Linked DNA regions of Xenopus tropicalis. The protein of the gene in region 2 purifies or fractionates together with the protein of the main gene of each other region. This does not show direct contact. Links are inferred from orthologs where the notes say so. Each region holds a gene or a part of one and is shown on either strand. Other genes may lie near its edges.

Region 1 (3,657 bases), on a different chromosome or scaffold from region 2:
AAACTGAGGCTACAACTGATTTATCTCAAAAGAGGGAGTTCAAGTAAATTTCATTAAATTTGGGACCAATGGCTGGATAAGCATCCTCTTCCCAGTGTACAAAACGAGCAAGAGCATAAACTTACTCTTGTATTCTTGTGCATATATTAGCAATATACCCAAAATGGATAGATTGTACGCCATTTCGGTTCTTCTTTTCTTCTGGAAAGTTCTAACTGATGTTGTATTACTTACCTATTGTATATCTCAATCATTGTAACTAATTATTCACTCAATAAACTCTACCTGAATTAAAAAAAAAAGTTAACTCAAAAGGTGAGCTACCCCTTTAAGTGCCGCAGCTGTTCTAGAATCCTGCCTCCTTGTGGCAGAGGCTGTATCCAACCATTGCAGATTTGAAGTTACACAAAGACATGGAAGCTGCTATATTGTTTCTCTTAGTAAAGGTAGATCATATAAGATCACACCTTTTCAGTACTTTTGTATTTGCACATACAGGTGGGTACTGCCATACTGTTTCCCACAATCAGTATAGTATGAAGTTACAGCTTGTGTGTACAGAATATCCCTTGTGTGTGTACAAGCAGGACATTAGATTTAGCATTACCAGGGTAGTAGGGTAGAAAAGGTCTAACAAAGGTAAATATAAGGCAGAGGACGAGCTCAAACAGCAGAAAAGGATACTCGTTATATAACAGACTGGCGTCAGTGATATTTGTAGCACTTCCTTTCCCAAGAGGAACGTCCACTCCATCCAGTTTTACAGTAGCTGAGGGATCAGGCGCGGTTCTACCCAAACCTAAAGAAAAGAGGGAAATCTGTATCAGAATCTATTTGCCAGAACCAATCCCGTATGTAAAGTTCTTAGTTTGCTGGAGGTTTAAAGGGCAACTCCACCCAAAAAATGTCTTTGCACAATGAAAGCAACTCTCTCTCTAACTTTACAATATACATTCATTAATAGGTTTCAGTGGGCCCAATGTTATTTGTAAATGTAATTCCTACTGAAAGCAGTGTCTAACTAGTATACTAATTATATTCTCTGCAGTACTAGCACAAACCCCCAAGGGTGAAGACACACTGGGCTACTAGTAGCAGCTACTTTTTCATGGCTACTAAACTCCAGAAAATCCCCTGCCATAGACAATACTGAGAATTGCCTCTGCTAAGACACACGTAGAGACAATTATCAGTAAATGTCTTTTTTGTAGCCGTGACAAGTAGCTGCTACTAAGTAGCTCCATGTGTCTTCACCCTAAAACAATGTAGCAAAAGCTCAATGATTAATGAACAGACTGACCAGCCACATAGTAAATCTTGAAACAATCTATAAATTGATTAGTGTCAAAACCTTAAGAGTAATTGTATTTGTTTTTTTTGCAACTTTACATCTCTGTTCAGATCAGTGTAGCTGAGGTTTGTTTTTGTTTTTTTTATAACGGTAAATCTCCATTAATTCTGTGTAATAAACAATTACGGGCATTTTTCCCTCCAACCTCTATGAAGGTGATAATGACTGGTGAGCTTGCAGTTTCAGTCTCCCCCAGGTCTGCACTGTTCACTGGCTTACCTTTCCCCTACATGATAAGCAAATAAGCATTTTTTTTCTATTTAGGCACCCTATGGCCCTTAGGTACCTATATCATAAATATAGCCCTGCTTATAGCACCTACAGAGACACAATTTACAGCTATAACAGTATAGGTATTCCTTTGTACTAAACAGTTCAAGAGAATGGAACCTGATGGATATTTGTGCACTAAGACACAGGGCCACTTACCTTTGACACTGTGTTTGCCCTTGGGTAGTTTCGTAATGTGTGATGCTGCTCTCAGCTCATGCCTAATACAGACAAACGACAAGAAATCAAAAGTGAACATTGTGAAAGTACCCCGCAGGTGGTAGTTACCTAAACAGCTTTGTAGCTGCCCTTTACCAACCACTGCCTGGTTGCTAGGGTCAGTGACCCAGCCAGCTAACAGTTTAAACTTCCAGTCTAGAGTGGTGCAGAACAAATCACAAACATGGCATTTAATATATATGCTATGAAAATAATAGCTGTTACTTACATGTTACCAAGGGCCACCTCTCCCAGTAAGATCAGCCCAATGGGATTACCCGGCATTGCATTACAATAGTTGGCACTTTTGGATACCATATCGGCAAAATAGATACCTTTGCCAAACATATAGCCAGTCTGTGGGGAGAAAGGATCAGAACAATGTGAGTAAATCTGCATTAAGAAAATCAAACATCTGTGCATACATCTATTAACAGGTTACTGGCACAATTTACTAACACCTGATTGTAGAATGCAGTTTGTATACACAGGGCTGTATATTTCCTATAGACAACTCTTAACTACCCTTTTTTATATAATGAGCTTACAGCCCACACATGGTACAACACAGCCCAGAGGTTCAGCAGCCCTGTAACAGGCCTTCAAAATTGTTTGGAGGAGCTCCCCTGTCCTGGATCTTGTTAGGCCACCTTTTGTGTGTCAGTGGCACTGCACATGCTCAGTGGGCTGCTGCTGAGAGGCTAAGCTTAGGAGGGCGTGGCATATCGAAGTCATTAGCACTGGCTTCCTGATTAGATGCCCCCAGAGCACCATGCTCTTGACAGGATACATTAGAGTTGCCTCTAACCCAGTACTTACAACGGGAGCTTCCGGTGGAGCAATTCGGAGACCCTGAGACAATATCCCTGCAAAATTTGTGGTTCGGGATCCGTGCCAAAGCAGCTGGCGGTTGTGTAGCTGTTTGAATGGCTTATACCGCTGATATTCACCTTCACGCTCGATTTTGAATATCTTTGGGATGAAAGATAAGGAGAGAGACGAAAGGAAAATGTTCAGAAATAACCACATTCAACACAGTTAATGAAGCTTACATTTAAAGGGAAAGTAAACTCAAAGTTTTGCCTAATGAAAGAAAAGCTATTTCTAAGCAACTTCTTAATATATATTTATTGCACATTTTTACCGGTGTAAAAGTTGTGTGTAAATGCAATTGCTATTGAAAGCTGTATCCACGTCCCTTACTTTTTTCTGCACTGCTGGGTCTGACTAATGCCTGTGAAGCAGTATGCAAGGCATAGTGGGAAATGGAGTCTTAGCTGGAGGAAATATAACTTTGGCCGCACTGTTTCAAGAGTCAGAACCTGCAGTTAATAATATACAAAGTGGACTTACCTCGAGGACCTCAAGATCGTAGGCATTGTGCGTCTCGGCGTGCGTGTTCTTCACATAGTCACGTATTATTCTAGATTCTTCCGATTCTTTATCGACAACCTAGGGCAGAGGGAACATTTAGATATACAGCAGGACCGGGTGAGTACAATAAAGGAAAAAGTAATGGTTTGTGCATTTAAAACCCCAATTATTCGTTTACCTTAATGTCAGTCTTAATCTTTTCATATTTCACATCAATGGGATCTTTTTCTCCATCATCGGCGCCGCCTCTCAACAGGCTGTATGCAACTTCAATGTCAAGCAGATTATCCAGCATCTGCACTTTAGCCTGCCACACAGAATAGGGGACATTTAAGTACACGACAGGCTATTTAGTACAAGCTGCACTGGCTGGGGGGGGGGAGGGGACAGGAGCTTTCAGATGTACCTGTATGTACTCTAGATTATTTAGCAGCGGGGGCTTC
Region 2 (3,757 bases):
GTCAAAAACATCATCCACATTGGTGGTGGTGGGGTTAGCAAACCCGCTGAGGGTTCTGGGAGTTGCAGTTCAAGGCTTTGAATTGTTCCAATCTGCTGTGTTCAGGGGTAAGCGAACCCACTGAGGGTTCTGGGAGTTGCAGTTCAAGGCTTTCAATCGCTCCAATGTGCTGTGTTCAGGGGTAAGCGAACCCGCTGAGGGTTCTGGGAGTTGCAGTTCAAGGCTTTCAATCGCTCCAATGTGCTGTGTTCTGGGGTAAGCGAACCCGCTGAGGGTTCTGGGAGTTGCAGTTCAAGGCTTTCAATCGCTCCAATGTGCTGTGTTCTGGGGTAAGCGAACCCGCTGAGGGTTCTGGGAGTTGCAGTTCAAGGCTTTCAATCGCTCCAATGTGCTGTGTTCTGGGGTAAGCGAACCCGCTGAGGGTTCTGGGAGTTGCAGTTCAAGGCTTTCAATCGCTCCAATGTGCTGTGTTCAGGGGTAAGCGAACCCGCTGAGGGTTCTGGGAGTTGCAGTTCAAGGCTTTCAATCGCTCCAATGTGCTGTGTTCAGGGGTAAGCGAACCCGCTGAGGGTTCCTGGGAGTTGCAGTTCAAGGCTTTCAATCGCTCCAATGTGCTGTGTTCAGGGGTAAGCGAACCCGCTGAGGGTTCTGGGAGTTGCAGTTCAAGGCTTTCAATCGCTCCAATGTGCTGTGTTCTGGGGTAAGCGAACCCGCTGAGGGTTCTGGGAGTTGCGGTTCAAGGCTTTTAATTGTTCCAATCTGCTGTGTTTAGGGGTAAGCGAACCCGCTGAGGCTGATGGGATGTGTAGTTCTGTAATGGCTGGAAGTGGCTTGGGTCAGTGCTGGAGGGTTGCAGGGAGTTATATTGGTGACTGATATTGGCGAACCCGCTGAGGGTTCTGGGAGTTGCAGTTTAAGGCTTTCCATTGCTCCAATCTGCTGTGTTCTGGGGTAAGCAAACCCGCTGAGGGTTCTGGGAGTTGCAGTTCAAGGCTTTCAATCGCTCCAATGTGCTGGGTTCTGGGGTAAGCGAACCCGCTGAGGGTTCTGGGAGTTGCGGTTCAAGGCTTTCAATTGTTCCAATCTGCTGTGTTTAGGGGTAAGCGAACCCGCTGAGGCTGATGGGATGTGTAGTTCTGTAATGGCTGGAAGTGGCTTGGGTCAGTGCTGGAGGGTTGCAGGGAGTTATATTGGTGACTGATATTGGCGAACCAGCTGAGGGTTCTGGGAGTTGCAGTTCAAGGCTTTTAGTCGCTCCAATGTGCTGTGTTCAGGGGTAAGCGAACCCGCTGGGGCTGATGGGATGTGTAGTTCTGTAATGGCTTGGGTCAGAGCCGGAGGGTTGCAGGGAGTTATATTGACTGACAGCTCTGCTGTGTCCCCAGATGCCTCACGTCAAGCAGCCGGTTGGGGGGGGGGGGGGACAGGGCCATGATTTGAGTTTTCCTTTCCCTTTAGGCTCCTCCCCTGGCCCCGCCCAGGGGCTGGCAGTTGCGAGTGGATGTAACTGGGAGCCACTGGGCACAGCAGACTGTCAGAGGCGGAGAAGGAAAGCAGATCCCTGCGCACTGACAGCCCCCCGTGTATTCGCCAAGAGCCATGGAGACCCCCGGGCAGAAGCGGGCGACCCGCAGCACCCACACCCCACTCTCCCCCACCCGCATCACCCGCCTGCAGGAGAAGGAAGACCTGCAGGAACTCAACGACCGATTGGCCGTCTACATCGACAAGGTGCGCTCCTTGGAGTCGGAGAACGCCGGGCTGCGCCTGCGCATCACTGAGTCCGAAGAGGTGGTCAGTCGCGAGGTGTCGGGCATCAAGGGGGCCTACGAGGCGGAACTGGCGGACGCCCGCAAAACTCTCGACTCGGTGGCCAAGGAGAGGGCTCGCCTGCAGCTGGAGCTCAGCAAGATCCGCGAGGAGCACAAGGAGCTGAAAGCGAGGTAGGACCCGGGGGTGCCAGGACTGTGTGCCAGCGGGATGGGGTGGGGGTCGGTTACACTGGGCTCCTTGGCACCGGGATGGAAATGTGAGCCCAGCCCATAGGAGTCATAGGATGTGTAGGAATGCCCACGCCTGGGGCAAACCTGACTCATGCCAGGGCTACTGGGAGAGGATTGGTGTTATCAGACCTGCCTGTAGGGGGCGCCGCTTGTCTTCAGCAGCAGCGACTCCATTGCATCCCACAGGGTGTCTATTCCTTATTAGTCCCACCGGCCCTGCAGGGAGGCAGTTCCCTGTATCTACTCCCCTTACTTTATTAGTCCCACCACCCCTGCTGGGAGGTAGTTCCCTGTATCTATGCCCCTTACTGTATTAGTCCCACCACCCCTGCTGGGAGGCAGTTCCCTGTATCTACCCCCCTTACTGTATTAGTCCCACCACCCCTGCTGGGAGGCAGTTCCCTGTATCTACCCCCCTTACTGTATTAGTCCCACCGGCCCTGCTGGGAGGCAGTTCCCTGTATCTATGCCCCTTACTGTATCAGTCCCACCGGCCCTGCTGGGAGGCAGTTCCCTGTATCTATGCCCCTTTCTGTAAAGTAGCACTTCCCTATGTTCCCTTTCAGCCTCCCCCCCTATTCCTTTACTGTATCAGTCCCACCGGCCCTGCTGGGAGGCTGTTCCCTGTATCTATGCCCCTTACTGTATCAGTCCCACCGGCCCTACTGGGAGGCAGTTTCCTGTATCTATGCCCCTTACTGTATCAGTCCCACCGGCCCTGCTGGGAGGCAGTTCCCTGTATCTATGCCCCTTACTGTATTAGTCCCACCGCCACTGCTGGGAGGCTGTTCCCTGTATCTACTCCCCTTTCTGTAAAGTAGCACTTCCTTATGTTCCCCCCCAGTCCTTTACTGTCCCACCGGCCCTGCTGGGAGGCAGTTCCCTGTATCTACCCCAGTGGGTGTTTTTACATTGATGTATGAGCAGCGCGCGCCACGTGCCGAGTATCTCACACCAGTGAGCTCATTCCAATATAAATACTCCCCGTGCCGCGTGGTGTTGTCCCTACTGTGCTGGGAGTCTGTGCCGGGGAGTCACCGGCTAAAATAGGAAACAAAGTTATTTGTGCGGTGCCCACCCACCATTGGGAGACCCTGTGCCCCCACAACTCAGAGGGTAAGGGTGGCAGCTGTGCGTTTAGGGCTCTCTTTGGATTGGTTCATTGGTACCCGGGGCAGTTGCAGGTTCTATAAATGCCCCTTACCCTGACTCTGCCCCAAGTGGTGCCCCGGCATTGGTGCCACCGTATCTGTATATTCCATATGGGCATTGGTGCCACCGTATCTGTATATTCCATATGGGCATTGGTGCCACCGTATCTGTATATTCCATATGGGCATTGGTGCCACCGTATCTATATATTCCATATGGGCATTGGTGCCACCTTATCTATATATTCCATATGGGCATTGGTGCCACCGTATCTATATATTCCATATGGGCATTGGTGCCACCGTATCTATATATTCCATATGGGCATTGGTGCCACCGTATCTATATATTCCATATGGGCATTGGTGCCACCGTATCTATATATTCCATATGGGCATTGGTGCCACCGTATCTATACCATATGGGCATTGGTGCCACCGTATCTGTATATTCCATATGGGCATTGGTGCCACTAGAGTAGGGTGTGCCACTTTGTGCCCAGCCTGTTTATCCCTTCCTGCCATGCCTATCCATGCCACCCTGCCCATAGGGGCATACCCACAATGCCACGGGAAACCCCTGTGCCCCATTAAGTGCCACAC

The links.
Region 1: the proteins of lmna (region 2) and parp1 purify together in Homo sapiens (affinity purification with western blotting; 3 studies listed by BioGRID, with this or other methods). This does not show direct contact. The link is inferred for Xenopus tropicalis from reciprocal best matches to the Homo sapiens genes LMNA and PARP1.

What each region holds. Positions count from the first base shown.
Region 1 is NC_030681.2:8,009,276-8,012,932, reverse strand, and holds part of parp1 (poly [ADP-ribose] polymerase 1), read right to left. Parts: coding exon 3,621-3,657; intron 3,522-3,620; coding exon 3,393-3,521; intron 3,293-3,392; coding exon 3,194-3,292; intron 2,813-3,193; coding exon 2,660-2,812; intron 2,198-2,659; coding exon 2,070-2,197; intron 1,843-2,069; coding exon 1,781-1,842; intron 800-1,780; coding exon 685-799; intron 1-684. UniProt on the Homo sapiens protein: Poly-ADP-ribosyltransferase that mediates poly-ADP-ribosylation of proteins and plays a key role in DNA repair.
Region 2 is NC_030684.2:142,968,130-142,971,886, reverse strand, and holds the start of lmna (lamin), read left to right. Parts: upstream 1-1,552; 5' UTR 1,553-1,599; coding exon 1,600-1,943; intron 1,944-3,757.